Neurospora crassa OR74A: one gene and its partners. The protein of the gene in region 1 binds, or shares a complex with, the protein of each later gene. Links are inferred from orthologs where the notes say so. Each region holds a gene or a part of one and is shown in the gene's direction. Other genes may lie near its edges.

Evidence for each region.
Region 2: NCU00564 (region 1) and NCU08728 share a complex: the UniProt entries of both Saccharomyces cerevisiae proteins name them as parts of the mitochondrial small ribosomal subunit. The link is inferred for Neurospora crassa OR74A from reciprocal best matches to the Saccharomyces cerevisiae genes MRP2 and RSM19.
Region 3: NCU00564 (region 1) and NCU07386 share a complex: the UniProt entries of both Saccharomyces cerevisiae proteins name them as parts of the mitochondrial small ribosomal subunit. The link is inferred for Neurospora crassa OR74A from reciprocal best matches to the Saccharomyces cerevisiae genes MRP2 and RSM26.
Region 4: NCU00564 (region 1) and NCU03343 share a complex: the UniProt entries of both Saccharomyces cerevisiae proteins name them as parts of the mitochondrial small ribosomal subunit. The link is inferred for Neurospora crassa OR74A from reciprocal best matches to the Saccharomyces cerevisiae genes MRP2 and RSM25.
Region 5: NCU00564 (region 1) and NCU02951 share a complex: the UniProt entries of both Saccharomyces cerevisiae proteins name them as parts of the mitochondrial small ribosomal subunit. The link is inferred for Neurospora crassa OR74A from reciprocal best matches to the Saccharomyces cerevisiae genes MRP2 and MRPS8.
Region 6: NCU00564 (region 1) and NCU05717 share a complex: the UniProt entries of both Saccharomyces cerevisiae proteins name them as parts of the mitochondrial small ribosomal subunit. The link is inferred for Neurospora crassa OR74A from reciprocal best matches to the Saccharomyces cerevisiae genes MRP2 and MRP17.
Region 7: NCU00564 (region 1) and NCU01761 share a complex: the UniProt entries of both Saccharomyces cerevisiae proteins name them as parts of the mitochondrial small ribosomal subunit. The link is inferred for Neurospora crassa OR74A from reciprocal best matches to the Saccharomyces cerevisiae genes MRP2 and RSM27.

The regions. Positions count from the first base shown.
Region 1 is NC_026501.1:7,986,050-7,989,566, reverse strand, and holds NCU00564 (mitochondrial 37S ribosomal protein MRP2), read left to right. Parts: upstream 1-1,376; 5' UTR 1,377-1,581; coding exon 1,582-1,688; intron 1,689-1,769; coding exon 1,770-1,941; intron 1,942-2,059; coding exon 2,060-2,122; 3' UTR 2,123-2,478; downstream 2,479-3,517. Other genes in the region: NCU00563 (hypothetical protein), read right to left, coding at 3-70; NCU00565 (lipoic acid synthetase), read right to left, coding at 2,629-2,924, 2,986-3,517. UniProt on the Saccharomyces cerevisiae protein: Component of the mitochondrial ribosome (mitoribosome), a dedicated translation machinery responsible for the synthesis of mitochondrial genome-encoded proteins, including at least some of the essential transmembrane subunits of the mitochondrial respiratory chain.
Region 2 is NC_026502.1:3,811,293-3,815,351, forward strand, and holds NCU08728 (mitochondrial 37S ribosomal protein RSM19), read left to right. Parts: upstream 1-1,399; 5' UTR 1,400-1,778; coding exon 1,779-1,821; intron 1,822-1,921; coding exon 1,922-1,937; intron 1,938-2,238; coding exon 2,239-2,418; intron 2,419-2,880; coding exon 2,881-2,917; 3' UTR 2,918-3,169; downstream 3,170-4,059. Other genes in the region: NCU08729 (transcription initiation factor TFIID 23-30kDa subunit), read right to left, coding at 3,701-4,059. UniProt on the Saccharomyces cerevisiae protein: Component of the mitochondrial ribosome (mitoribosome), a dedicated translation machinery responsible for the synthesis of mitochondrial genome-encoded proteins, including at least some of the essential transmembrane subunits of the mitochondrial respiratory chain.
Region 3 is NC_026501.1:6,129,050-6,133,649, reverse strand, and holds NCU07386 (Fe superoxide dismutase), read left to right. Parts: upstream 1-1,577; 5' UTR 1,578-1,847; coding exon 1,848-2,109; intron 2,110-2,490; coding exon 2,491-3,161; 3' UTR 3,162-3,622; downstream 3,623-4,600. Other genes in the region: NCU07385 (hypothetical protein), read left to right, coding at 1-1,054. UniProt on the Saccharomyces cerevisiae protein: Component of the mitochondrial ribosome (mitoribosome), a dedicated translation machinery responsible for the synthesis of mitochondrial genome-encoded proteins, including at least some of the essential transmembrane subunits of the mitochondrial respiratory chain.
Region 4 is NC_026502.1:1,034,280-1,038,028, reverse strand, and holds NCU03343 (mitochondrial 37S ribosomal protein RSM25), read left to right. Parts: upstream 1-1,612; 5' UTR 1,613-1,952; coding exon 1,953-2,338; intron 2,339-2,428; coding exon 2,429-2,765; 3' UTR 2,766-2,946; downstream 2,947-3,749. Other genes in the region: NCU03342 (hypothetical protein), read right to left, coding at 1-1,000; NCU03344 (hypothetical protein), read right to left, coding at 2,947-3,749. UniProt on the Saccharomyces cerevisiae protein: Component of the mitochondrial ribosome (mitoribosome), a dedicated translation machinery responsible for the synthesis of mitochondrial genome-encoded proteins, including at least some of the essential transmembrane subunits of the mitochondrial respiratory chain.
Region 5 is NC_026501.1:8,605,600-8,609,633, reverse strand, and holds NCU02951 (mitochondrial 37S ribosomal protein MRPS8), read left to right. Parts: upstream 1-1,601; 5' UTR 1,602-2,036; intron 2,037-2,132; 5' UTR 2,133-2,392; coding exon 2,393-2,878; 3' UTR 2,879-3,331; downstream 3,332-4,034. Other genes in the region: NCU02950 (hypothetical protein), read right to left, coding at 1-653, 721-887, 965-1,002; NCU02952 (hypothetical protein), read right to left, coding at 3,595-4,034. UniProt on the Saccharomyces cerevisiae protein: Component of the mitochondrial ribosome (mitoribosome), a dedicated translation machinery responsible for the synthesis of mitochondrial genome-encoded proteins, including at least some of the essential transmembrane subunits of the mitochondrial respiratory chain.
Region 6 is NC_026503.1:614,171-618,398, forward strand, and holds NCU05717 (mitochondrial 37S ribosomal protein YmS16), read left to right. Parts: upstream 1-1,538; 5' UTR 1,539-1,800; coding exon 1,801-1,824; intron 1,825-1,960; coding exon 1,961-1,992; intron 1,993-2,254; coding exon 2,255-2,552; 3' UTR 2,553-3,251; downstream 3,252-4,228. Other genes in the region: NCU05716 (hypothetical protein), read left to right, coding at 43-116, 169-857; NCU05718 (hypothetical protein), read right to left, coding at 4,156-4,219. UniProt on the Saccharomyces cerevisiae protein: Component of the mitochondrial ribosome (mitoribosome), a dedicated translation machinery responsible for the synthesis of mitochondrial genome-encoded proteins, including at least some of the essential transmembrane subunits of the mitochondrial respiratory chain.
Region 7 is NC_026502.1:2,519,938-2,524,523, forward strand, and holds NCU01761 (hypothetical protein), read left to right. Parts: upstream 1-1,816; 5' UTR 1,817-2,020; coding exon 2,021-2,059; intron 2,060-2,116; coding exon 2,117-2,325; intron 2,326-2,389; coding exon 2,390-2,448; intron 2,449-2,510; coding exon 2,511-2,530; 3' UTR 2,531-3,069; intron 3,070-3,161; 3' UTR 3,162-3,935; downstream 3,936-4,586. Other genes in the region: NCU01762 (nucleolar RNAse III), read right to left, coding at 496-1,554; NCU01760 (pumilio-family RNA binding repeat protein), read left to right, coding at 4,357-4,485. UniProt on the Saccharomyces cerevisiae protein: Component of the mitochondrial ribosome (mitoribosome), a dedicated translation machinery responsible for the synthesis of mitochondrial genome-encoded proteins, including at least some of the essential transmembrane subunits of the mitochondrial respiratory chain.

The DNA.
Region 1 (3,517 bases):
ACCTGAGCTTCTTGAGATCTGGGGCGAACTTTGGTTCAGCCGGAAGGCCTGACCAACGGCGACGAAACATCTTGTATGTTGGAAAGTCGTCGAGTTTCCTGGGTGCGTTGTTGTGGAGGAGTCAAAAGACGGTTGCAAGCGAGAGGAAGGATAGCCTAGAACGCTGATCGCGTCGAGGAGTATTTAAACACTTCGTTGCTTGGAGGATCGCGAAGAAACTCGAAGGCCACGGAAGCGGTTGAAGATGGGACGGAAGGAGCCCAGCAGTTGTTCTTCCCTTCTCAGGCACAGAACGAGATAGGCGAAGTCGGAGTACGGAATGGGATGATACTAACGAGCGAACATGAGAAGGTAAACAGACAACGAACGAGACACTCGACTCCCTCTCCTCAGATGAATGGCCAAACCGCGATGACATTGCAACCGTCAAGGTGTTGACATACTGTAGGGTCTCTTGCCCATCTCATCCAGACCTTCCCCATCCCATCATAGAGATAACTTGCTTGACAAACAATTTTCATAGGAAACAGTCGCACACAAACCGAAAGCCGCTTCAACATGCAGGTGTTTCTTTTGGCAGGCTCAAGGTTGCTGCAAACGAGAGCAATCATCCGTAGACTGATAGAACGTATACTGCTAAACACCAGCGATCATCAAAGGCATTGGTAAAGGGTGCGTCGAACGTACGAAAGTGGTGGTGGATGTGGTTGTCACATGCGAACGGCAGGCATCAACCTTTGCAACCCGTGAACAACGTATTCGGTAAGGTACGGGTGAACTTAACACACTCGTTTCGCATACGACAACTACATCTTTGGTAGGTAGAATGATTCGAAAGGCACCACTCAGTCAACCCATCCAAAACAATCCTTCTTCCTCACACCCCCAGCCTGTAGCCAGAGATTGCAACGAAAAAGTGAAGATGAGCACAAAGCAAGTAGTAGTGTTGAGTTCGCGTCGCCTGGAGGCAGTGTAATACCAGGGACACAGTGGTCGGCAACCATAGGCAAGCCCAGAGGGATGCCGACCGAGTTGCAAAAATTAGAATAATCACGATTCTACTCCGTAGAGCAGTTTCAGAGATTAAACTGAAAAGAACAGATACTACACTTGATCTAAGCCAAAAGGCAAAGAGAGCTAAAGAAAAAAAGAAGAAAAAACCAGGTAAAAATTTGGGAGGGGGGGCCAGTCTTAAATAGGCCCAGATGTGGCCTGTGCACGAGCTGCAAGCTTGAGAGTTTGAGTGGAGCCCCGTAGAAAAAGTGCCGTCCAGCTGGTGTGCGACTGGCACACCTGGCAAAGTGTTTGTTGCTGCTTGGTTTGGCGCTTGCAACCTGCGATGAAAATGACACCGCCCGGCAGAATTTGTCGTTCCGCACGCGGCAGGGCTGGACGGCAAGCGCACAGGCCACTGGCCGCCGTGGGAGCCGGGGAGAGTGACTGCGGCTAGCGGGCGACGACGCCGGAGGGAAGCAACGACTGCAGTGCCTGTGACATCGATTTACGCGCCTCGATCCGCCGCTATCGACGCCCATCTCCGACTCAGCCCGCCAATCTGCCCCAGAACACCAAACCGCCAAAATGTCCATGTTTCGTGCCAAGAAGCTCGACCTCGGGTGCTTCACCAACGTCCGGGTCCTTCGTGACCACTCCAAGCGCAAGGCCTTTTTGGAGGCCGAGCCTGAGAGGTAACTACCTACGCCTTGCGATCCTTATTTGCGACTATAATAAGCACAAACGATCTGACGACTCCTTGCTTTATGATACAGACAAGCCCTGCGTTACGTTATTCGCAACACCACCCTCCCTGCCCGTACCAGGGCCGTCGCCCAGCTCCAGCTCACCCAGATGCATGCCTACACCAGGCCCACGCAGATCCGGAACCGCTGCATCCTTGGTGGAAAGAGTCGAGGTATCTTGAGGGACTTCAAGATGACAAGAGTATGTCGCTATCGATTGCTTCAAAGAAGGAGTGGTGTCCTAAGAGCTGAGCTCCGCATGGGAATGATGGAAACCTGCAAAGGCGCGCGACTTGCTAACACTGTTGGATCGCAAACAGTACAATTTCCGTATGAACGCCCTGATGGGTAACATTCCGGGTGTCAAGAAGGCCTCTTGGTAAAAGAGAGCATGGCTACAAGGAACCCAGAGGTTTGTTGTGGTTTGGAGATGGTGCCGGTACGCCCAGAGGCGAATAAACTCTGTTCAAAACCCAGATGGGCTCGGGCCATCGTGTTGGTAAGAAAGTATCACTGTACGCAGGGTTTTTGAGATACCCGTATAAGTAAGTGATCGCATGATGAGGAGTGCTTCAAAAGCTTTTCAGTGGGCAGAGGGAGTTTGTATGATGCATCCTTTTGGACATGGGAATCTCTCTCCCGATGCCCGCTGTGTAGAATTGTTGTTACAATATTATATTCAGACACGGCAAACGAATGAATGTCTTTTTCAAAGTAATCGAAAGAACCAATCTCCCCTAACGCCAAAACGCATGCAACCCCCAAGGTGCCTAATAACCGATCCGTCATCCGTCTGTTATTTTGCCCGCCACAGGATAGCTGTGAAAGCCTAGATCCCGATTATAAATGTTGAAACACGCTCCGCAAACCACATCTAGCATAAGCTGCCTCAAGAGGACTGGACGCTAGTCGCCTCCTCGGCGGCAACCGCCTGACCAAGAGCCTCAGAGACAACCTTCTCGCCAGAGCGCTTTCTCAAGACGTTCTCGATGAAAGCCTCGCCGGCCTTGTATGAAGAACGGACCAGAGGACCACTAGCGCAGTACAGGAAGCCCATGTCAAGCGCACGCTGCCTCCAGAGCTCAAACTCGTCGGGAGTGATGTACTTCTCGACCGCGAGATGTCTCTTGGTTGGGCGCATGTACTGTCCAAAGGTAACGACATCGACGTCGACCTTCCTCAATTCTACAAAGCAACATCATGGTCAGCATCCATCAAATGGGCAAGCGCAATTGGTATGACTTACCCCTCAAAGCCTCCCAGAGCTCCTCCTCAGTCTCACCCAGACCAAGCATGATGCTGGTCTTGGTGATAATGCCTTCCTTGCCCCGGACCTTCTTGACGTGTTCCAACACCTTCAAACTCTGGCGAAATGTGGCACGGCGATCACGCACGTAAGGCGTCAAGTTCTCAACAGTCTCAACGTTATGCGCATACACATCCAGTCCGCTCTCCGCCACAATCTTAACCATGTCCAAGTCACCAGCAAAGTCACCGGTCAAGGCCTCGACAAGCAGGGTCGGCTTCTTCTGCTTGATCCGGCGAATCGTCTCTGCAAAGTGTCGGGCACCACCATCGGCCAGATCGTCACGGTCGACACTCGTCAGCACAACATAACCGAGACCCCAGCGGGCCAAAGCCTCAGCGGTGTTCTCGGGCTCGTGAGGATCCAGCGGAGGCGGCTTGCGGCTTGTCTTGACGCTGCAGAAGCGGCAGCCACGTGTGCAGGTGTCGCCCATAAGCATGATGGTGGCCGTCGCGGCGGCCTTGTTAGAACC
Region 2 (4,059 bases), on another chromosome or scaffold:
GTGACCGTTCAGCCCGAAAGAGGAGGGATCTGGAGAGCATTAGATCATGTGAAGAGACGGGTAACACTGATACTCAGGCACTCGTCCGCATTTGCGGTAGTCCGACAAGTTGATCAAGGCACACTCAGACACCCAGGGACGGGAAGTGCTCCCTACTAGTTTATTCCGGGAACGGTTGATCTTGATGGGTAGCTAGTGCAAACAATTGCGCAGCAGTCGAGCTGCTTGATGATGATGATGATGATGATGGAAGTTGGAACTCCATGGCTGGCTGGATAGTAAACAAATGCAGCCCTGTTCTCAGGTGGCTCGCGGGAAGAACGAATGCGGTGCCCTTCTCGGACTTTGCGCGCAGACTGGTGAACCGATCAAATGTTGATCAGACCGACCAGAGGGAGGGGGGGCATTCGTCTGAGGGCATCGACGATGCAAGCACACCCACAAATGCGCAAAACAAAAAAAAAAGAGTGACGGATGGTGAAATCCAAAAAGAAGGTCGTTGTGAACGCGAACGGGAAACCACGGCCAGATAGATATATTGACTGCGGTGGCGCTCTTGCCTAGACGAAGAATCCATGACGGCCCAGTCCATGCCCAGGCAAGGCAAGGCAAGGCACAGCACGGCAGTTCACGCCTGCCTTAAACTACCTACACTACGTCCTACATTGATGTACAAACATCATACATACTGTAGTGGTGGCGAGGTGTATGGAACTTGAAATGCTGAGGAAGGAGCAACACTGAAGAAGACGGAGTGCACGATCGATGTGAACCACTGAGCTGCAGTCAGGAATCGACGGACGCACGCCGGTTATCGGCCACCACCAAGAATGCCAATAGTCCGGAATCCGGGATGCTATGTTTTGGAGTATCGCAGTCGCGTTAGTCCTGAACCAATTGACGGCAGCACGGGCAGCAAGTGTCTGAGAGTGCCAACCAGTGCCGCCGGTTTGCTAAACGGTATGTAAGTCATATAATACTTGCTGTATCCTAGTTCGAGTAACACCAAGATTTCGGCCCCAAGTGCTGCTCGAGCAGGGGGGCTTGCCAGTACAGGGGTAGGTACCTGTAGGGTGTGGTGCACGAGTCACACCACCATAGCATTAGATTCAGCAGTATCGTGCATAGATTTTCTTCTTCTTGCGCACCCAAGAAATGCACGATAACACAAATTGGATGCTAATTGATCTTTGCCATCAGGTAGACCCCGCTTTCTCTGCTCACTAAGCAAGTGCCGTTTGACTGAAGATTTCCGTACCTCTCCACTGCAGGGTTGACATCCATCTGTATATTGACGGTAGGTTACCTTGACAAAAAGAGGTGTTTAGAGGGTTATCATCGTAGTGTAATTATGGGGGCGTTGCTTTTAGATATCGATAGACAGGGTTACCCGTGCAGGGGTTTTTGCTGTATCGATAATCGCTTTGATGAATGCCCCCTAACCCTGTAGAAGTACCTACTGCGTACATAGGTAGCCAGGGGGGAGAGTCAGCGGGGGCGTCCGTACTAGGTATGCCGGCCGGCAACCGATAAGCTTGGCAGTTCCAAAATTCGGCCGTGGTCAGCGCTCCCGTCACTGCCGCCGTCGCCGTGATACCTGGAACCGCTCCGCCCGCCCGCCTGCCGGACTCGCCGACTGACTGACCGACCGACCGACCGACCGACCGACCGACCGATTGATCTCAAGACCATCCGAGTGTCGCGTACGCGCCCGGCCTCTTCCCGCTATTTGCAGCCACCACCCATCACCACCGAATTCCTTCTCGTTCGCGCCCAACATGCAGCCAACAAGGGTTCTTTTCAAGAGATCCGTGTGGAAGGGTAAGTTATTTTGTTTTGTCTCCTCCTAAGCTTCACCTTGCGATAATGTACTCTTTGCGCCGTCCAAGACAGTCAAGCTAACCCGCATCGCCGACTCCAGGTCCGCACATTGTCCCGTAAGCTCTACTACCCCTTCCCCTCGTTTCTGTCCCCGCGATCTCAATGACGACGACGACGACGACGACGACGACGACGACAATTCAATGCGCCGGCGCACTCCCGAGGACTCTCTCTCCTCCCTGCTCCCGATCAAAGCTGCCGGCGCATGTCCATCATTCTCTACGAGCCCATCCCGCGACATTCCCCTCCATCCGCGAACCAACGCAGTCCAACCGAATCCAACCGCAACGCTACAAGCATAGTCACCTATCTTGAGCGCAAACGGGCACTAACCACCAACGCATACACACAAAACAGTCTCCCCATCCAGCGCCCCGAGCCCGGCAAGAAGATCGCTCCCATCCGCACCCAGGCCCGGTCCGCCACCATCCTGCCCAACTTTGTCGGCCTCAAGTTCCAGGTACACAACGGCAAGGACTACATTGACTTGACTGTCACCGAGGAGATGGTGGGGCATAAGCTTGGAGAGTTTTCTGCGTAAGTGCTCTTTCTTTCTTTCTTTTTTTTTTTTTTTGGTTCTTTCTTCCCCTACTTTCACTAGTCTACTTTTTTCCTTTCTTTTCCTTCTTTGACTATTATTTTTCAATTTCAATATATTATTTTTTTAAAGGGTCTTTTTTTTTTCCTTTTTTTTTTTTTTTTAAGATGGCGGCGGAAATGCCATAAATGTTGGCGGTGTGGGAAAAGAAAAAAAAAAAAAAAGAATTTTCCTACACAAAATTCAATGGTCTGACACGGCATGGCCATGGCATTGGCTGGTGGCAAGCCATGAATGGCTGGACGGGCGACATGTGTTGGACGCCACCACGGGATGATGATGATCGTAGGCGGTGGTGCAGTGTGGTCAGCAGAAAACAAACAACACAAAAGACACACATTGGGCATATGGACATGAACAATTGGACCGACACTAACTGAATGGTTCAAAACCTCAAACAGTACACGCAAGCCCTTCATCTGGGGTAAGAAGAAATAGACAAACCAAACTTCGTTCGTCTCTTCAGTGATGATGATGAAGAAGAAGAAGAAAAGAGAAGAAGAAGTCGATTGATTGATGGATGCGGGTTTGACACGTTTTTTCTGTGGGCGGCGTTTATTTCGGCAAAAAACAAAAAAGCATATTTTCGTTGCTTATCTGTATCATACCATACCATTGTCAGAGGAGGGCACAGGTTTCTGTACACATATCATATTTTGGGGCAAATTAGAACTTTCGCTTGGATTCATACTACTGTGCTGTGTCTGTTGTTTCAAGATGAACATGTATATGTTGTGTAGTGTGTAGTTTAATTATGCTTTGTAATTGATAAAAATATGCTAGTATCGCCAGGTATTATTATTTTTAGCCTAGACTAGTAGTCATAACGGGTTCACTGAGAGCAAACAGGACGATGGCAATCTTCCATAACGGCGCCTCCTGAACGCCAAGCGCAAAAAAAAAAAAAAAAAAAAAAAAAAAAGGAAAAAAAAAAAGGAAAAAGAAAAGAAGACCCGATGACCCCAAACCCCTTTTGCACCGTTCCCGTGTTGGACCCTTGATTGCCGACCCTTTGCCCATCCATCCATCCATCGATGCATCATCCTCTTGATATCCTCCTCCTTGAGCAAGTAACCACTTGTTGCCGCCCCTTTAAGATAGTATCATCCTTTGGTCTGCCATGCCACCATTCCGCTCACACTCAGGCAAACCACCCACCGTTTCCCCATCCCTTCTCATCAGTAGAGCAGACAGTCCTGCACCGTGACCGTGACTGCCCCCCTAGCGATAAAACTCGCTCCTCTTCACATTAACCCCAAACTCCCCTGCCGCCATGCCCAAATCCTCCATCGTCAGCACCGTCCTATTCTGGCTGCCACCCTGTCCACCACCACCGTACCCCGGCCTCTGGATACCCAACGGTCCACCTCTGCCCTGATCCTTCGCCCCCGCCGCCTGATTGGTCGGTTGTCCAGGAATAGGGAACCCCGCCGCGGCACCCAGACTGCCCATCGGGTTGTTCGCGTTGGTGTTGGATGCCCTGATGCGGGAATACTGGTAGGCGTCGGCGGCGATGTCGGCAATAAACTTTTGTGTTGCCAAGGCGAGCAGACGGGCCAGACGTTGATCGGTTTGTGGCG
Region 3 (4,600 bases), about 1.9 Mb from region 1:
GATCGCCCAAAGCGGTAGCCTGGATCCCCATCCGGTATCGGGAGAAGTGGAGATAGATTGGGATTACGACGTCCACATCAAGTACAGGAGACCTGACCCCGAGACACTTCAGACCCTCGTGGTGTTGGGAGAGTTCGACCTGTTCATTCGTCTTGTGTACTGCGTCAACGACAAAGACGGTGGCGGCGACGGATGGCGTGTGGGCGAGGTCGGTGTAGCCAGCAATCCATCTCCCCTCGAATCCTTCCAGGGTCATGCTACACTCGATGAAGCAGAGAAGGCGTTCAAGGCCCAACAAATCTCTGTGCCAGAAACCAAACCAGTTGCCCAAGTATCCGTCCAAGCTGAACCGGTTGAAGAGGATGACGACGATGATTACTGGGGCCGATACGATGCCACGCCTTCCCAAACTCCCGGTCAAGGCCGCTCTCCTGCGCCGCCGTCCTTGGGCGCCGGCCTCAACACTCAAAAACCCCATCCCTTTGAGCGTAGTCCGTCCGCCGAAGATGCGTACTTCGCCCAATACGAATCCGTACAGCCAGCCATGGACCCCCATGATCCAGACGAGGAGGCCTTCCAGGGCGGAGCTGTGGGGGGTGGTGCACCGCTTAATGGTCTCCCCCTTCGCAGGTCTCCGTCGCCAAGACAACAGGCATATGAGCCGCCTGTCATCAAGTCCGCACCAGCGCCGCCGCCATTGGGCCTAAACGGAGACGGCAACGGCGGTTACGTTCCATCCCGATCACCCTCTGATAAGTCCGGTTCTGACTCAAGTGGCCGGCGCATGTCCCAGGCGGACGAGGAGAGGATGGAAAGCCTTGCTCATCCGCGCCCAGCCAGTAGCGCCAGCTCAAACGGATCCCGCATGGTGGCCAAGCTCGAAGAAACGGCGGAAGCGCAAGATCGAGTCGAGTTTGGAGTTAAGCAGCACGTCTCAAGGACGATTCGAAGTCTATTCCAGCTGTCACGCGGCGCTGGCATCAGTCGTGAAGAGTTCGAGCGGATGGTCAGGAACGAGCTTGATGTTCTTGCGATGGTGGAGGACGACGTTTGAATGACCAGGGAAGGAAGGGAAATTGATTCAAAGGGGGTGTCGGTGTTCACTGTTTATATTCCTCATTCTGTTCGGGATACTGCATCATCGGGTCGTTTTTGGCGTCAAGTAGTACTGGTGGGGGAAGTCCGGTGAGGGCGTCCAGTTCGCCTCGTGATTATTGTTAGTTGTTCGGACTTCGAGCAACGGCGTCCACGGAATTATTTTACAATAGCGTTACAGAATATCGGTCAAAGTACGATAATGAACATAGCACATACACGAGCAAAGTAGAGAAAGATGCCCAGTATCTGTGCACCAGTACATCATCGAAACGGTTGAAGACGCAAGTCAATGTGAACGCCAAGTACGGAACTCCGGAATTGGCAAACAGCTACCCCACCAAGGACGGTAGGTACCTCTCAATAACATCCAGGGTTAGGGTCAAACCTGGCTCTTTGCGAGGACGGTGAGGCTGCCGGCCGCCAGTTCGTCCCAACGATTGGTCCCTGCTCCAATGGCCGGGTCCTTCCGCAGCGGAGCAAAAAAAGTCTCGAAAGTCGCGTCCCACTTCGACCGTCTTCCGGGGTTGAGTGCCCGTGTGTTCTGAAGTGCGTCCGCTCTGCGCCGGCAGCCCGTCCAGTCTTGAAGTTGTCTCCGTCCGTCCTCAAGGTCCGCCCCCCACACACACTGTCCACCGTCCATCTCCCCCGACCGAACGACCGGCCGACCTTCCCTTCCACCGAACCTTTCCTCCGACCCCCGGGCCGTTTTCTTGCGGAGAAAGAGACCAAAAAAAACCCCAACAGACAAAATGATCGGCTCCATGGGTCTAAGGATACCCCGTGCGACAAGCTCGCTCCTCGGCCGTGCCGTCAACGCTGTCGCCACCAACCAGTCCGCCGTCGCCGGCGCCAGCATCGCCGCTCAAAGGAGATGGCAGCACTACCTCATGCCGCTTCGCGACAACTTCGAGCAAGAGGGCATCCGCAACTTCCTCAGCCCCGGCTCCGTCAACATGGCCTATACCGAGTACCAGACCTTCATTTTGGAGAAGCTTAACGCGCTTGTAGTAGGTACGTACGGATGACACAGCAACACAGAACATACTCGTCTGGGGAATTTGGTGTCGCTGCGTTATCATGTGGCACGGCATAGCACGGCATGGCATGGATGAAGGTTACGTGCGAGGATTACTGGCTGCGAGGAATTGGTATCCTTTGGTCGAAAACGCCAAGCTGGGATGCTGTTAAGCCTGAGAGGAAGAGGAGGCATTAGCGCAGTGGTTAGGCCACAAAGGAATTGGTGGAGGAAATAGAAGGAAGGGGACTCGGATTGAAGCTCAAGCCAGAGCATGCCCTGCCTATCCGGGGGGGAAGACATGATGTCACCTATTTTGCTGCATGGGAGATATCTAACCGACAAACCACTTTGCTTACTTCTCTTTCGTCAAACAGGCACCGACTTTGAGCAAAAAGACACCAAGTCCATCGTCCTCGCCACCGCACGCGACCCCGAGCTCGCCCATGTGTTCAACCACGCCTCCATGGCGCACAACAACCACTTCTTCTTCGACCACCTGTCCCCGGTCCCCGTCAAGATGGGCGACAAGCTATTTTACCACATCAACGAGAACTTCGGCTCCGTCGACACGCTCCGCGACGAGATGATCGGCACCGCCGTCTCCATGTTCGGTCCCGGTTTCGTCTGGCTCGTCCGCACCCAGCTTCCCGGTCAGCCCGTCGCCCTCCGCGTCATGGCCACCTACTTGGCTGGTTCTCCTTACCCGGGCGCCCACTGGCGCCGCCAGGAGATGGACGCCCAGACTTCCATCGGGAGCTCCCCCCAGGGCTTGAGCAACGGCCAGCGCTTCTTCGAGCGCAGCGCAGCTGGGTTCAAGGGCAACAAGCTTGAACCTACGGCTCCCGGCGGCACTGATTTGATTCCGATCTTGTGCCTCAACACGTGGGAGTACGCGTGGCTTCGCGAATACGGAACTGGTGTGGGTGGTATGGGTGGTAAGCTGGCGTATGCGCAGAGCTGGTGGAACATGATTGATTGGGCCAAGGTCGAGGAGGAGGCCAGGCTGGAGACTAGGATCTTGACGGGCGGTGATAGCTCTGTTTAGCCTCTTGCTTCCATTCTGCGGGGGAAGAGGAGGGAGGAGTGAGGAGGAATTGAAGTAGGAAGTGAAGCGGGAGCGTGAAAGCTTAAGCCTCGACTTTTTGGTTCTGAATTACTCGCGACTACTGGTCCATCAGTCCATGCCTGCCGCCGCCATCGACAGTCCGACGGCTGTCACCTTGTCCGAGGGGTAGAAAGAGCGAGTGGAACGGGATGGAGATGGATTATTGTACGGTTGCTGCCCAAGTTACTTCTGTGACTTTGTCTGTCTATATGGAACCCGGATATATAGGGAAAAGTTGTTCTGTACGATAGGATAGCATGACGGTGAGACCGGCCGGAAAAAGAGAAAGGAAAGTAAAAACCAAGCCAGCCCCGGCAGCTGCCATCTATACTTTTACATGTGTATATTACCAATGAACCAAATGTGTGTGTGTGTGTGAAAGAGGAAAGCAGGATAACGGCAACGAAGCAACAAACGGATAGGTCAAATGCAAATTGTAAATATAGCACTTTGAAAGATGGACGCACATTGTGACATCGACATCCAACCTTCTCTGCTTACTTGACCAAACTTTTTAGTACATCTCCTAAGGACCTCATACGGACCTACATGTCCGACTACTCCTTACTCCGCATGATGTCTGCTTCCTTCACGATATCAGCTCACTAGGTAACTACCACGACACATCAGCTGTTGAAAACATACCTGACCGCTGCCAGTTGTAGCCCTTCTACCTTTGTAGTTTCAGCCTCTGATTTCTCCTCCTTCGCAAGGCCTCAGGCTCCATGCCGAGTGATCGGTGACAAACTGAATCTTGACTATTGACTGTTAGGTTATCAGATTTGCCTGGCCGAGACCTCACTGGTTCGTTTCAGCGCGGTAGCTACTAAAAGTAGGTACGTAAACCGAGCACCGGTGAAGGACGGCAGAGTGAGTGTATCGGTGTCTCGATTGCCATGCCATGCCATGCCATGTCATGTCTCGCATTGGGACTCCGTACGTTGGATCCGGTCAAAGATTTGGTTCGAACTGGCTTTACTCACTCACGGTCACTCAATCGATGTGTAATGTCCCGGTTTTGAAACCACCCAAGTTGAGCACGAGGTAAAGCTCAAGGGAGGATCAGTCGAGATGATTCATTTTTTATATATAGAGGTATATATGTATATTGATATACATGCAACACAACTGTTGTTCTGACGAAATTTGATCTTTCTGTCTTTCTTTCTTTCTTTCTTTCTTTCTTTCTTCCACTTTAAGTTGATTGGGTTTGGGCCCTCTTCTCAGCTGTACCTACCTTTGACTAGACAACATCTGTTAAAATATTAAACTCTCCTTGTCAAACCCGGATGTCTGTATCAAATGAATCCAGTGACACCAAAAATCCAGTCAGATACCGACGGGAAGATGCCATGCCATGCCATGGTTTATCTTAGCAC
Region 4 (3,749 bases), on another chromosome or scaffold:
GCTGAGGCTGCCCTAATGCTTTTAGGAGCTGATGTCGCAATCGACCATTGATGTAGGGCATGCGCGGTTCCGGCAGTTGCTGGTAGAGGTCGTAGATCGTGTCAAGGTCAACCTTGTGTGGAGTGCGCAGCCGCACGAGTACAGCAAACCTGAGATCGCTCAGTGTGTGTTGGCCAAATTCGTCCAGTCCAACCACTTCGTCCGGGCCTGGATACTCGTAGTCATCTTCATTTTGTACAAAGGTGAACCGGGGCCTATCAGCGGGCGCATAATTATGCATGTAAGGATCGCGAATGAACTTGAGGTAGTCTTCGACCGTTCCATCTAGATCATGATAGGGATCTACCAGTTCAAGCAGCTCTTCTTTGGTGAGATGACCGAGCTTCGCACTGTGGGATTCGGGCAGCTCTTGTGATTGTGGGTTTGCGCCCGAGTGGGACTCGGTCGATAGATCGTCATGTAGCGCGGATGGGGCCGAGAAGACAGAGTCGGCGGGCTTCTGATCGGCACTGGGTTCGGGGGCAGCTGCGGCAACGGGGTCAGGGACCGGGGCTGCCGCCGCCGCCGCCGCCGCCGTGTGGCTCCGCTTTTGGGGAGCAGAGACCGAATAGCGGAAGAAGTTGGAGTCGAGTGCTCGTCTGCTGTTCGTGCCGGACAGACTGGTGGGAGTTACCCGCAGGGATGGGGTGGTCAGTAGCGGGCAACCGGTGGAGCCGCCTATGGGTCTCCTCGCGACCCCATCGACAAGGCCACCACTTTGTGAGCTCCAGCTGCCGTGGAAGCACCGTCGTTGTTGTACTGGGCCGAGGCCTGCTGTCGCAACCTGTCTTCTTCGTCCGCTGCCTTGGTCACCGAGCTGGATGGATGCTGTGGTTTGCGACACGGAACTGGTGGCAGCAATTGCGGTTGCGGAGGCGGCAATGGCAGACCAATTCCACGACGGACGATGCAAGAAGATGGTGCCGCATATCGACCCTTCAAATCGGCTGGAGACTTTCATGAGCTGCCGCCGTCCAACATGATGGCCTGCCCATTCAGCCAACCTTTTCTTGCCTGTTCCCCGCGAGTGTCGGCCGCAATTCGATGAAGAAGAGCTCAGAGAAGACGCAATCACAAGCTGCTGGCTGCTGCGCACTCGATTGGCACTCGATGCAATCGCGGTTACTGGCGAATTGGATCGTACTCAGGTCGATGTGGTCAGGGCGTCAGATTCGTGGAGGGCGGGGAAGTATGGGGAGAATGGGGAGAACTCGAGTCATGAAGTGAGGAGGGATGTGGCAGGAAACTGGGGTCGGGTGAGCGACGCGATGATTGAGAAAAAGTTGGGGTAGTGTAGTGGTGTACACTACAATACATGGACGAGGCACAGCTCCAGGTACCTTGCCGTGAGCACACCCCACCCCTGCCTCTACGAAAGAGGGGAAGCTGGAATAGGGTCCAGTCTCGGCCGGGCTCAAGACCCCCACTTCTGTTATCGATAAGCACCTAGCTAGGTACTTCCCTTCCCTTTGGTCGCTTAATGGCGGGGCGGGGAACTATTTTTTTTTTGCCGGCACGTCCTTCCAATTGCTCGCCCGCTCGCGGCAGGCAGGACAGCAGGTCGCGCGGGTTACCGGCAACAACTGAAGGTCGTGTCGGATCGTGCCTGTCTCCAAAAGGCACAGCTCCACTTTGGACAAAGCTAAGCAAATAGCGATAACGATAGGTTTGGCGGGTGAGGGAATCCATTGTGCCTACGCAGCGCAGCGCAGTGTATTATTATTACCTTACACAGGTATACACACCCCGTAACCTCGTAGCCTTGCCTTTGCCTTGGGAGGGTACCTGAGGAACGAAAGGACCGCCGAATCCGCCAATGGTCCTCTGATCTCAGCCAACACCACCGCTGCCGTCGATTATCACCAGTAATTCCCTCCACAACACCCAAACGCCGCCAGCGACGACCGGACAAGATGGGCAAGGGGCGCATCTTCCAGGCCGCAAAGGTCTACCAGAGGGCCAGCGAGGCTGCTGCCACCAACATCGTCTCTGGCCTGCCACCACGGAACCCACCACTGTGGCTCAAGGCCATCGAGTCCATCCCTCCCGCTGAGATCAACACCAGACCGTATCCGATCCAGCACTCTCCGCCGAACCCGCGAGCGCGCAAGCCACGCAACCTCTTTAGGCCCACCAAGATCGTCTATCCCGAAGATGAGTTGCGCCGCGACTTCTACCGCGACCACCCTTGGGAGTTGGCCAGGCCTAGGATGATTATCGAGTTGGATGGCAAGGACGCCCGTTTCCTTGACTGGTCCAAGGGCCTCAGGCAACGCGGCATCCCCTTGTCCGGCGAGAGGTACGTTGTTGGATGAGCGCATTGCACATGGCGCAAAAGCCCGGCGGACAGGCATGGAAATTGGATGCTAACCCGAATCGCAAACGATAGTGTCGTTCAACGTCAGCTCTGGCTTATGGAGAATCAAGGCATGACCAAGCAGGAAGCCTACGACAAGGCGCGCCACGAGTTCTACAAGTTGAGGCAGTTGGAGCAGATGGAGCGCAGGATAGCCGTCGAGGAGGCCCGCATGGTTGGTGGCTACTTTGGCAAGGACCTTCTGACGGTCGGCATGGAGCTCGAGAACAAGACGTATGAGAGTTGGAAGAAGTGGGCTACGACCGAGATCGCCCGCCAGGAATCTGCCAGGGCTTCCATGTACACCAATGTCGTCGACAACTCTGCGCTCGAGGAATCTGAGGAGGACGAGCTGCTCGCGCAGAATTAAGGCAACGAATTGGAGTAAAAGGGGAGGGACAGAGTGGTATAGCGTGGCTGATACCCATCCGTGTCGGGGAAAGACGATGCCGGCCCACTCGTGCACAAGTGTAAGAATATCACGTCTCTTTGTACATATAGAGAGGGCAAGAGACTTTGTAGAAGTACATGTGATTCAGGAGCCTGGTCGCCTATCTTCGAAGAAACCCGGCAGACACCGGCCCGATATACTGACTGCCCTTGAATATTTTCGCCAGACTCTCGTGCTGCACACCGACAACATCGGCAATGCCCGTTTTTAGAAACAACTTCCCCGTCAGACTCATCGTCTTGGACCTGGCCCAGGTCTCGATGTACACCACCTTGGCCCTGTTTTCGGGTACGAGGTAGAATATCTTGAGCAAGTGGGCCACCAAACACACAATAAAGCCGTTGGCAGGCCCATTTGTAACAATCACATGCGGGTATCTGAATCCCTTTCCATGATCCTTTGTTGACCGTGGGTTGGGCATCCGTGTGAGGGCATTGGCGGCATGAAAGGCGGATATGAGGCAGGTAAAGGGTGCCGTATAGAGCGGTTGATGGACCTTGCGCGCACGGCGGATTAAGAAGATATCAGAGGTGCCTGCTCGATCATCTTCTCCGGGATAGGCGTCCTTGATAGTCGCTTCCAGAAGGCGGGCCTTGCCGAGAGAGGAAGTGTCTCCGATGGAGATGATGTACCGCCGGTGGATGTTTGCCTGGCCGCGAAATGACTGCTTGATGGTCTCAATCATCTCAGCAGTGTGTCCACCAGAGCCAAGTATATATGTGAAGTAAATAGCAGGAAGAGAGGTGGTGTTGGGAACTTGTGTGCCAGCGGCATTGGGTTGGGGCGTATTGCTGGGGACGAGCCAGCTGCCACCTGGCTTTTGACGCCGGCGTATCATTTCAAAGTGCCGGTAGACAATAAAGGTACCAAGCACTATCCCGACGGTGATGACGAGGGAGATGA
Region 5 (4,034 bases), about 620 kb from region 1:
CGGGTGCTGTAGGTTTGGCGGAGGAATGCCTGGGCTCAAAGGTCCGCGGCCGCTGGGGGGAGGCAGGCCTGGTGAGAAGGGAGTGGTCGCATCGTAGGCCAGAGTCTGGTGCAACGGGTTCACCGCGGCATCCTCTGGGGGAGGCGTCTTCTCGCGGTACCGTACGGGTTCGGCGGCAGGTGGCGCGGCTGGGTTATAGGCCATCGGAACAAATGCTTGAGGCGATGGTGTCGAGTGATCGTGGGAAGCAGACACTGCAGACATGGGCGGCGGAGCAAAAGACTGGATTGCGCCAACTTGCGGAGGCTGTGATAAAGTGGTCGGGGGTGTACCGTGGTCAGCGATTGCTGCCCTCTCGAGTTGCTGGACTACCGCGCTGACTTCGGTATCGTGCCGAGGTGGTGGTCCTGGCTCGTTGTGGACATCGCACTGGTGCGGAGGGAGCACACGTCGGATGCCATTGACGAATTGCAGAGCATCTTGATGGTTGTGAAAGTAAATGTCGAGCGAGTGAAGCTTGTAATGGTACTTGGCCTGATTGTGAGGGTCGTATGTTGGTAGATGCCACTCCTCGTAGCCCTCGACCTCGCCAACCGTCAAAGTTACAAGGCAGGTGTGGTTGTAATCGTACTCGAGATGGGTTTTGTCGAGGTCTGGCGACACATGATGTTAGCCTTCCCACTGTCGTCTCGAGCTCTCACTCTAAATCCTAATGCTTACAGCCATCGAAAGCATCCTGGTCTTCCCTTCCAGGTTGGTTCGCAATCTCCAGCCGTGCGCGGCCCAAGTTGGCATCTTCGAAAAGGTATACATAGGAGCCCTTGTCGAACCTGTGATGAGGCGGGTTATTTGTTGGAGGGCCGTAGAAGTAGTGAATATCACCAAAGCTATGCAGCGAATCAATCAGTCAGAATGCGCCCAGGAACTATCACCTCTTTATGGGATCAACGGAAGACAAACTTACAACGTGCCGACGTTCTCCTCTCCCTCACGGGCGGCCATCTTTTGTGATCAACGAACTCGCTTGAGTGAACAAACACAACAACACAACAACGGTAAAAAGGATTGAGAGAACTGAAAGACAGCAAACTTTCTCAGCTTCCCACCCGAGGGCTATCACGCCTAATATCAGAGATGACGGAACCCAAAGAAAACAAAAGCCACTCGGCTTCCGCGTCTTTGCGATAGTACCCTACCTCTTACATACCCTTGCAGGAGACCGTGGTCTGGTTCTTCACATTCGGCTCTCACTCCATGGCGCAATCAGCACACAGCCATCCAACCAGCGCGCACGATAGGTCGGTGATGCGACCCCTAGTGCCGGTAGAGGTGACCTTGCCTGGTGGTTGCATCGTCCTGGATGGTCACTGGATGGTCCGCCTGGGCGCTTAAGGTGGGATGCCAAGAAAGAAGCACGAGCAAGTCAATTGTCACACTCTCCAGTCCTTCTTTCACAATTGACGAGGAGGGAAAGGAGCGGGAGGGAAAGACAAGAAAAAAGGTGGGGTAAGCAGGATCCATCCTCAATAAACCTGGAGAGCTACCAAGAAAGCCCCACCGGACAGACACCTTCTGGTCTCTCTGGCGGAGGGACGGGAGGCCTTTCAGGGCAGCAGGGGTCTCTTTTGCAGTGACTTTCGTGCAAGGCACAGTGGAGGTCATTGCCCGAGGTCATTCACTCTTTCAACGCTCAGCCTGAGGTCTTTTCTCGAACCATCCCTGTCCGTCCTCCACACGGCCCCGGCGGCCAAGCAAACGCACGCACGCCCGCCAGCCCGTACGTAGTGCCGTACGGCAGAAGCGGACAGAGCAGCAGGGGGACAAAAAATCGGCAGCACAACTTACCTAACGGAGCCATCCCGATCGAGACCTCGAAACCGCAATTCGCATCCGGACCCCGTTGCGCGCCGCATTCGCGAGTCCCGAAACCTCCACTTGTTTTTACGGCTCCTCCGAAGTCCGAATTCCTCCATCACGACCACCGACCCGTGACGGCCACCCGACTGTGCGCAACAGCTACGGTCTCCCGATTGGTTGTGCGTTGCAATCTTCCTTTTTTTTTTTTTTTTTTTCTGTCCCGCGAATCTTCATCGGCACGCCTAGACTAACCTCAAGACGCCCCGTCGCTGCAGCACCGATTCCTCACCCGCATCATCCTTCTCTTCATCCCGCATCATCCTTCTCTTCATCCCGCAAGGTCCCCAGTTCGCCGCCGCATCTCCCGAGCACTTCTACACCGGACGGACCAAGCCATACCAGCCGATCGACCCGACGACTTACGCGACGACGGCCGACTTCTCTCTCTTTATAACCCATCACCCAGTGCATACCATTTTCTCTCTCTCTCTTCAGCAACACAAAAGTCCCACACGGGCATCATCAAACCTTCAAAATGGGCATTCAACAAATCACCAACATGTGCTCGCACCTCCAAAACGCCTCGCGCGCTCGCCTGGGCCTGACCTCCCTGCCCAACACCAAGTACAACCTCGCCCTGGCCCTGGCCCTGCACCGCGCAGGCTTCATCTCCTCCATCACGCGGGGCGGTCCTCACCCGCCCACGCCCGAGGCCCTCATGACCTACGAGCCCGAGCCCGTGACCAGTGCCAACGTGGCCACGCGCCGGTTGTGGGTGGGACTCAAGTACTGGAACGAGGAACCCGTCTTGAAGGAGCTGAAGCCGATTTCGAAGCCGTCGAGGCTGGTGACTGCCTCCCTGGAACAGCTGAACCGTGTGGCGAGGGGCTTTCCCGCGGGATACATGAAGGGGTTGCAGTTGGGCGAGTGTTTGTTTGTGAACACTGATAGAGGTGTGTTGGAGGTTAGGGAGGCAGTGGAGAGGAAAGTTGGTGGGCTGGTTTTGTGCAAGGTAAAATAGATGGGTAGAAGAAGAAGAAGGAGGAGGGTCTCAAGGATGGACGGTGGGGATAGGACATGAATTCGGTGAAAGGAAGGCATTGTTGGGAAGGAAGCGAGAGGAATAGAAGAAGAGGAGGAAGAGTCACCGCACTTTGGGAGGATCTCAAACCTGAACTGGAGCCAACCATTTCTGTGCGCAGTGTACGATACGGATGTGATTCCATTGTACACTAGACGACTTAGCAAGACTGGACAAACATGGAAAGGAATAGACATTGGCAAAGCAGAGCTCATCCTTGGTTCTTGCTATGTGAATATGAGGTATGAGGCCAAGAAAGACAACGAGCTGGCATCCTGTATGCTATGATCTATGCATGACAACTAAATCATCAGCACTCACCGTGGAAACAGATATCACCAAGATTGATAAGAAAAGGGATCGATTCATCCTGCTCCAGGGTGCTGTACAACCCACTATCTGCTATGCATTCATACTTCATGCTTCGCCAACTTTCTTACAAATGTGTGATTGGTCTTTCTACAAAGGTATCATGAAATGTGCTAACCCAGTAACACTGCATCCCCCTCTTTCACTGTCTCGAACAAGTAATAGGGGTGATTAAAAAAGACTCTACAGGCCAAAAAGCGATCACATCCACCATTTCTGGCTTCCTTTTACGAATCAGAAGTGTGCTTAAATTCCGAAGTGCTGGCAGACTTCTCCTCGCCGTGCTCCTAGATGTCAGCATCGGTGGTATCAACAACCTCGGCAGCGGACGAGGGGGCGGCTTCAGTCTCCTGGGCTGGCATCTCCTCCTTAACAACATGAACGTCAGAAGTGGGGGTTTGGGGAGCTTCCGTGGCTTCCTCTACCGGCTGAGCAACTTCTTGAGGAGTCTCCGTCACAGTGGGGAGGGGCACCTCAACAGCTTCTTCTGCCTTGGGAACCGGCTCAGCCTTGGCCGCAGCTGAACCAGCACGAGACTGTTTCGGTGTCGTAGCCGCAGATGGTGCTGCAGATTTAGTGGCAGGTTTTTTGGTCCGTGGCTTGCTGAGACTTCTCTTCGCGGCAGGTCCGGGCGTGGCCGATGACCTCCTGGGTGGCGATGTGACAACCTTCTCAGCGGTCTTGGAGGCGGATGCCGCGGTTGGACGCGTCATGCGTGCCAAAAAAC
Region 6 (4,228 bases), on another chromosome or scaffold:
TATCAGGTTGGAAACGGAAGACTAACCTTACTTCGACCACAGGTATATGAATGATCGGGAAAGGAAGCGTGGCCCAGATGATGCGTTGAATCAGTTGTTCGACCGTCTGGTCGGCGGTATGTCTCTTTGCCCCTGCCTCTCATTCCCCTCGAACTAACATCGATACAGACGAGGACCGAGCAGCAGCAGGAGCCGGAAAACCCGTCGAGGCCATCGGCGCCGAAGCCGCCCAAGCCTACATCTCCTCCATGGGCGCCAATATCGAAAACGTTGAAGCTTTTGTGGTCCTTGAGATCGTCCGCGCCGACTCCATCGGCCAAATCACTCGCCAGGGTTTCGTCGAGGGGTGGTCCTCCATCTACCTCGACCACCGCATTCCCGCAGACCCGGCCCACCACAGAAACTACGTCCGGATGTGCATCCAAAACCTGCCTCAAAATCCGGCCTACTTCAAAAAAGTCTACCAGTTCGCTTTTGGCCTGGGTAAGGAACCTGCCCAAAAGGCACTGGAGAAGGACGTTGCCTTGGTATTCTGGGATTTGTTTTTGGGCACCGAGTCTTCAGATACAGGACTAGGACCGAGGCCGTGGAAGAGCAAGAACGTGGATTGGCTGGGTGCGTGGAAGCGGTTTTTGGCGGAGAAGTGGACGAGGAGCGTCAACAAGGATATGTGGAACCAGACGCTGGCGTTTGCGGAGAAGACGATGGTGGATGAGACGCTCGGGTTCTGGAACGAAGACCAGGCGTGGCCGGGCGTGATTGACGATTTTGTGCTTTGGTGCAGGGAGCAGGGGATTGCCAAGGCGCCTGCACCGGGGGCAGCAGGAGGGGAGGGGATGGATGTTGAGGATTATTAGAAAGTTGGTCATGAGCATCCGGGGAAGGAGTGTAAAGGATGAAGTCAAGTGGGTGGATGTGGTTATACGGGGGGGAGCATATGAGGATGTTGGTGAGGACTCTTTCGCCTTGGCGCAGGGAGGATAAGAGGGGCAAAGAAGAGAAGCACTGATGGTCATGCTGTTGCCAGTTGATGCTGGGAGGGCTTTCGGGGCTCTCATGGCGGTTATCATCTTGTTGAGGTTGCTGCCATGGTGGTCAAGCGGCGCATCGAAAGATCAGAGGTTGGTTCGCAAAGAGCAAAGAATACATTTACACAGCGCATTTCCAGATACACAATACCGATAAGAGCATGCATTTACAACATGAAGGCCATTCAAAGGTGTATGAAGCGGTTGGGAATGTTTTTAGAACAAGTCTGATTTCTCATTGCTTCTAGACCACATTATAACCCTTTAGGAACTTTTAAAACAGCTTTTCTGGAGGACCATTACACCCAACAGATGTCTCTACAATCACCGAGGTGACAGCTGAAGAGTCGAGTAAACAACCTCTCTCCCACCCACCCTTGATGAAGTGTGTACACCCCTATCCGGAAGGCGGTCAACGCGGCAGAATCTCGACCTTCTTCCTGGACCCCACAAAAATTTCCAAGCAAGCGGCGGCACCCGGACGCCCACTCGCAACCAACCCGCTGCGGCACTGCGGCAATGCGGCACTGCTGACGGCAACACCCACCACACCCTACAGTACTTGCTGAGCCCGGTCACAACAGCAGCCACAGCGGTACCTACTGTGGGGCTCCGAACTTCTTATCGACGTCCAAGGTTCACTAGGTAGTACTATACGCGCTTTCGGCCGGTCGCAATCGCATCGCATCGCATCGCGAAACTAAACTTCTTTTTGCGTTCGTTTCTTTCCCCGAACCGATTGCCCGCCGCCCAGCCCAAACTACCAGACAGGATGTTGTATGAGACTATTGGTATTGTGAGTTACCCTAGGGTTGAACTACAGGAGCAGGTTAAGAGATTGGGGGTACAGAAAAGGAAAGGAAATGGAAAGGGAATGGGAGAGGAGAGAGATGGAAAGAGACAGTCTTGCTAATGATTGCACTTGTGAACAGGTCCGCCCGGGCAACATCGCCGAGGTGAAGGAGTATGTTTTTTTCCCCTTCTCTTTGTTTCCACTCGATAGTCCGTCCGACTTGAAGAAAACTCCCTCCGTCTTTCCTTTCCCTTACGAACCCGACCCGACCCGAACCGACCGATCTTTCTCTTGTCTTCTCTTCTACCACATCATCCACGACCCTACCTACCTATCACCCCGACTCCGACTCCGAACCCAACCCAACCATCCCATCCTCTACCAACCTTCCACACCTCGTCGTACTAAACAAGAACCAATAAAAAAAAAACAGACTCGTCCTAACAGCCGGCAAACTCATCCTCAACCAAGGCGGCGTCATCCGCGACATCAAGAACTGGGGCACGTTCCTGCTGCCCCGTCCCATCTCCACCAACCAGCAGCGCCATAACCGGGGCCACTACTTTGTCATGCGGTACGACGCCAGCATCGCGACGCACGAAGAAGTCCGACGCACCATGAAGGCCGACCCGCGCGTGATCCGCACGGCGAACGTGAAGTTGGGCGATGGCAAGCTGGAGACGCTGTCGAGGTTTGGGGCGATTCCTTGGAGGAGTTTAGAGGAGGCGTAAATCTGTATCTTCTGGACGGAGAGCAAAAGAGGGGGCGGGTGGGGGGGGAATGTGTACGATGGATGGACAGATGGATGGGAAATAATGAATCGAGTCGAATCGAATCGACATATATCCATCCCATCTCCTTACCGGCTTGTGTATACCAAAAGGGCCGTGATGAAGCAGACCGGACAACATATATGGACGGATGGATGGCAGGCATCTTTATACCTTCTTACCTCCGTCGACAGCAACAATAAAAACGACCGAAACACCCACCAATAACGATCTGGGCCTTCGATGAGCAATGGTACATCGTGAACGCACGACACCTGGATAGCAACATGGGATACATACATACAGACAGGCAGCATACGTATCCGAAATCTTCATTGCGAATGGGTTGCGGAACCATCCATACCCACTCAGGTTGAAGGAAGGAGGAACCTGACTCCTTTTCGACCCCGTTAATGGATCACCGTCGTCGATCAAGAAGTTCTGGCGTGAATTAGGGTGCACTCGAAACGGTCAGAGTATCATATCAGTCAAGCCAGCTAGAGAACAAACTCCCGGACCCGTCTTTGTTCATGTACGATAACGCATGTGGAATGTGATCCGCTAAAGAATACGACGCCATATTCAGATTCCTTAAAGCAAGGTAGTTCATCGGTCCCGGCTCAACAAGGATGGCTTGGGATTAAGAAACGTCAGACACGATCATATTAAAGTTACGGGTGATCTTTGAAAACTTGACGTGAGGGCTCTTCGCTCAAACTTCATCCTCGTTTCAGTTACCACACTTGTATGCTACACTACCTCCCCTTATCAAATGTAGTTGATCGATCCTCTCGAGTTCCCAGTTAAACACTATGATATCAGTCTCGCCAACACACGGCAACACACGGCAACAGAGGCATGTTCATATCACCAAGTCAACACACATCCAGAACCGGGGCTCACTAAAGTGAGATTTAATGTAAACCATCTCTATCAATTACCTTCCACTACTTTCACTCGGCTACCTAAATAATGAATCACTCCAGTCTTCCCTCTCTCTCTCTCTCTCTCTCTCTCTCTCTTCAAAACGAAAATTTTTCAAATCCAGTCTTTCCACCCACCATACCAGCAACGCCCGGAACAAGCAAGCAGTAAACTGACCACCACCACCACCACCACCATCACCAACCCCCTTGACGCTGCGTTTGTATCCTACCACTTTATCCCGGCGTTTAGACACAAAAGACCCGGTAGTGAATGCAAGGAAGAAAAAAAAGGAAACACAAAAAAACGAACAATAAGAAAAACATAAACTCCCAAACTCCATACCAACCAGCACAACCGCCTGCAGAAGAAAACCAGGAAAGTCAGGAAATGCAGTAAAACCACGATCGGCCGATCTATGGATCGAGGCCACGCAAACCAAGAGTGCCGTGAAGCAAAACATCTGGAGCAGAAGAATGAGAAAAAACAAGAAAAGCATATCCCTCCGTGGAACCTTTTTGACGCGCTTCACAACTTCCCAACTGACAATTTCTCACCAATCGCCACCACCCACCGTGTTCCTCGCGCTCATGGGCAAGCAACCATGGGTAGTTCTTTTTCCCCGAAGGATCTCAAAACCCTATTCATCCTCATGCGGCAAAACAACCGAGTCCATATCATCCCAAGCTTGTTCCACGTACGCCCTATACAGA
Region 7 (4,586 bases), on another chromosome or scaffold:
TGTTAATGATTGGTCGAGCGCTTCATGATTACCGTACAGAAACTTGAGGTCCCCATCTTCTATGTCTTTCTTTGTCCTTGGAGTCGGGGTTGTCAAAGCATAGTGGTTTGTGAGACCTGAATTCAAGATAAGCCTCCATATTTTTGAAAGTAACGAACACTCCAGGTAGGGGTATAACATTCCGAAGATGCCTGATGGATATCTCTACTAACTATGAAAGGAGGTGCTGACCTGTGGATGAACAAGATGGTTCATCATCGACTTTGGCCACAGCTTGTTCGTTGTGGTTTCTCTTCGTATGTGCAAACGAAACGGTCCCTGGTCCTCCCTTGAACCCGGGTCGTTTACCCGTAGTAATGAATGGCCTAATTCATCTGCTATGCGTCCTTCTCATGGCCGACGCCCGAGGTAAACCACGAGACTACGGGCATGTGATGGTTGGTGTGTCGAAGTATTAAAGATCAGGGGCATATGAGACCGAACAGTACTTGGTCGCTACAGCACGCCGCCAGTGGTTTCCTGTGCCGAAGGCTGATCCTTCAAGGGGAACGTCACTCCTGCCTGCTGCAGCTGGGCTTCCCGCGCGGCCTTCATCTCCGCCTTCTTGTCCGCAAACTTCTTGAGCAGCTTCTTGTTATCCAAGGCCATTTGAGCTGCTTTCTGACCAGCTTCCTTCTTGCTCAAAGCACTTCCGTGCCCAAGTTGCAGGTTGGTCTCCCCCCAGCCTGTCATAAAACAGCCAATAGCGAAAAGAGGCAGCTTGGTTCCCCTGTCCTTCAGGTTTTTGGAAGGGAGATCTTTATACTCGATCTTGACACCCCTGGCTCCAATGGTAGCTTCGAGTACTGTCTTTGGGTCGAGTGTCTGGCCACTTGCGGATTGCTTTTGCTCCGGCTTCCTGGCCTTCTTCTCTTCCTCGCGGATGTACTCCGCCATGAGAGGGCCCCATAGGGCCTTGAGCCAGTCTGAAGCACGCTGAATCCCATTGGCAGGATCAGAAAGAATCACGCCTCCTACATAGGCTTCGAAAAGGTCTCCGAGAATCTTAATTCTGACTTTTTGACTTGCGTTTGTACCGCCCACTCTGCCCTCCATGTTGAATTCTTCCGGGATATCGGCCATCTTGTCCAAGCCGTAATAGACCGAGAATTCGCCTAGTGTGGTGTTGCGGATAAGCATCTCGCGACGTTGTGCGCTTTTGCCAGCCGGCAAGGTCGGGAAAGTTTGATATATGAAGGAGGAGGCGATGAGCTCAAGATAAGCGTCGCCAATCCACTCCAGCCTCTCATAACTTGCAACAGGGTCGTTGTTAGCTTTACCAGGGTGTGTGAGCGCCGCCTTTTTGAGTGCCGGGTCCAGAATGTCGGGGAGCGGTGGCCGCATTCTCTGGATGGTAGCGAGTGTCCATTTGGTATTGGCATGCAAAGAAGGAATTTGGACGGAGGTTGCGGACTCCAATGTAGCGCCTTGTGATGCGGATGGTGCAGAGTCTGACTTCGCACGCTTGGAGGGCGGTTCTGATACCTCCTCCGGGGTGGGTCCGTGTTTCGGCATGGCAAGATTGTACTTTCCTACAAGCAATCCGAATGCCTCAGATCGCGCGTTGATGCGGCGATGAAATTGTAGAGGCAGAATCGAAAACGGATTCTTCAAGATGAGAACGAATCCCGGGCCATTGCGTAGTGGAAACCCTAACCCCCTGTTCGACCCCAGATCCACATCAGGGCGCTGCTGCTGCCCTGTTATGGCCCGTAGCTGTCATTCTTAGCGCCTGTCAGCCCTGGAACGCGCCGCCCTCGGCTTCATCAGCGGGCTTGCGCTGACGGCCCGGGGACACTGCGGCTCGAAAACAACGGTTGCAGTCCGTGCCCCACTCTTTGTACCCATGAATGGTTATGATTGGTGGCGCATTGCTTGACGGGCTGGAGCGGGAGATCTCTGAACGACGTCGAACAATCCGGCGGCTCTTGTTGTTGCTGTTTCTAGAATTCGCGAATCCGCAATTCCATGTAACGGCAAGATGTCGGTCCCACGGGCGCGGTTACTGCAACTTGTGAAGGTATGGAACAGTTCCGAATGAGGGGAAAAACCAGTTCGCTAACTAGGTTATACCTAGGCTCGTTGCGAGCTCTTCTCGACGACTTTCAATCCCGAAGGCATCCGGACCGGTAACAAGATCCTGCGTCAGCGACTCAAGGGCCCGGCACTTGCGACCTACTACCCCCGCAAGAACGTCGGTATTCGCGAGCTTCAAAAGGAGTTCGGTACTCTTGGTCTCGAGGTTGACGATGAGGTCGATGATGATCGTTTGGAGCACTTGGCAGCGTTCGTCTCTCTCATTCCTGCTAGTGTTTACTTGCAAACATCACAATCTAACCATACCTTACAGTCTGAGAGCCCGCGACAAGGGAGCGCCCAAGAAGAAGAGAACGGCACCCTCGGCGGCCGGTGGGTTTCGTCTGCACCTCTTACTCACGGTTCAAATCTCTAACGTTCATATTCTGCGACAGATGCGAAGAAGAAGAAATAAGACACGGCGTCCCGAAATCAGAACTACACGACGTGTACATGTATCATATAGTGGGCGGACTAGAATCATATACCCCGAATACCTGGCGTTCCTCCGGCAGTTGGTCCATTTCGACATGCATTTTTCCGCTCAGTACTTGATGCCATCACAGTCTCCCCGTGACGAGGTGCTGCCACAACTGTACATATGGTTAGCGACGCCCGCGGCACTTGCCCCTTCAAATGGTGTTGAATAGCCGCCTAGTTCGACAAGCAGGTTTGTGGTTACCAGCTTTGTCAAAGGTTCATCTCGGGACTGTCCTCCCATGCGTCTACACAAGTCTCTTGATGCATCGAACAAAGAAGCGCCTGTTGATAAGCTGAAGATACCGTATCTTGATTCCATAGCGCGGATGGGCTTGAGGGAGGATATGACCCTTCGCCATTGTCCCTCTTTACGAACAGCTTTGATCATTTGGGTGAAAACAACAAGCGAGTGTCGGATCACCCAAGATCTTTGCACAAGCCGTCCATGTCAAAGAACGCCATGAATGTGAAAAGGTGCGCTGGCTCTTCCTGCTCCATTTCAAGCCTTTTCCAAAATAAAAATGGATAGGAAAGGAAGCTAATCACACCTACCATAATTTGCAAAGACCTTGGCATCCCAGCCCTACCGGACGAGAAAAGCCGACCCGCCACTCCTATCTGTTAATGTCCACGATGCTAGGTGATGGTGCTGTCTTGTTGAAGCTTCCAGACGTTGCATGCTTCCCTACCTACTCTACTCATTTTCATTCCGACGAAGAATGGTAGATCACACCGAATGGCAGGTGACATGAACACCTAGGTATGAATACCGCCTAATGAACTCGGAATATGTCATTGGGGCTCGGACGCCTAACCCAGAAACCCGTTGATCGTATGGGAAGTGGCAGCCGGACAGCAAGGTCCTTAACGCGGCAGGATGTCTCATCGCTGGCTCGGTTGACCATCATGCCCGACGTCCCCGCGACACGTGAAAAACTTCGGCTTGGTGATAAGGATCCCGCTAGGCACAAGGACGGGAGGCACGACGCCAAAGGCCGATGATCGTTAGCTGGAATACCGGTCGCAACTTCCCCAGCGACTCATCATATTCGATTCCGATCTTCGGATGGACGAGCCGATGTGCGTTCACTCGTCAGATCATCTGATGGCAGCCCAAGTGAGCTTTGATCACAGAGATTGCGGATTATCTCACAGGCATCGTGAACCCCTTTTTGCTTGGAGTGTCCGGGCAGTGACACCTGGGCAGTCCCGGTCACAGTTCCATCGTGCCTTCCTCCCTCGGGAGCCAAGGGTCCACCATTTCGACTTTAGTCTCGGTCATCCCGGGCTCATACCTACCCTAGAGGTACCTACCTACCTCTAGCCCTATTCTGACCGGTGCGTCCATCGTCACCAAGAGGTTTGTTGCTGTTGCCTTGCGAGAAGGTCCAACTTCAGGGCAACTGTAGCTGAAAGTACGGGTATCTCGGGCACATTTACACTCTTTCTTCCGTCCCAGACCAGCTCTTGGAGCTCTTTCTCTTTTCCCCATTATATCAACACATATTTCTAAGGCTTCTTCTCTTTCTGCATCTTCTTGTCGGTGCCATCACCAACCGTGTTCTCTCAAAAGCGGTTTGTGGTCATCTCGCCCCCAAGCTTCTATTTATCTGTGTCTTTCGTCGCCATTGGAACCAAATCTACTGCTTTTCTCTATCACCATCTTGAGCATCTCCTCCCATTGTGAAACACCAGCACCCAAAGCATCCCTCCAATCCCCTCAGGCTAGGTCATTCAACATCCAGCCCTCAGCAGACGACCATGTCTGCCGTCGCAGCATCCACCGGCTCGCCCAACGAGCGCCGTGCTTCGGCTTCCAGGAGTTTCTCGCAGTCTCAGGACGAGAACACGAAGCTTCCCGATGAGTTGATGTCTCCCAACTTGCAGCAGGTATGTATTCTAGTTGTATGTTACGTATTCAGTTGCATGTTTCAGGTTCTTTTTTTGGGTCTTGGGAAATTGCTGCCCTCACCTCCCGCCGGGTCGTCAGA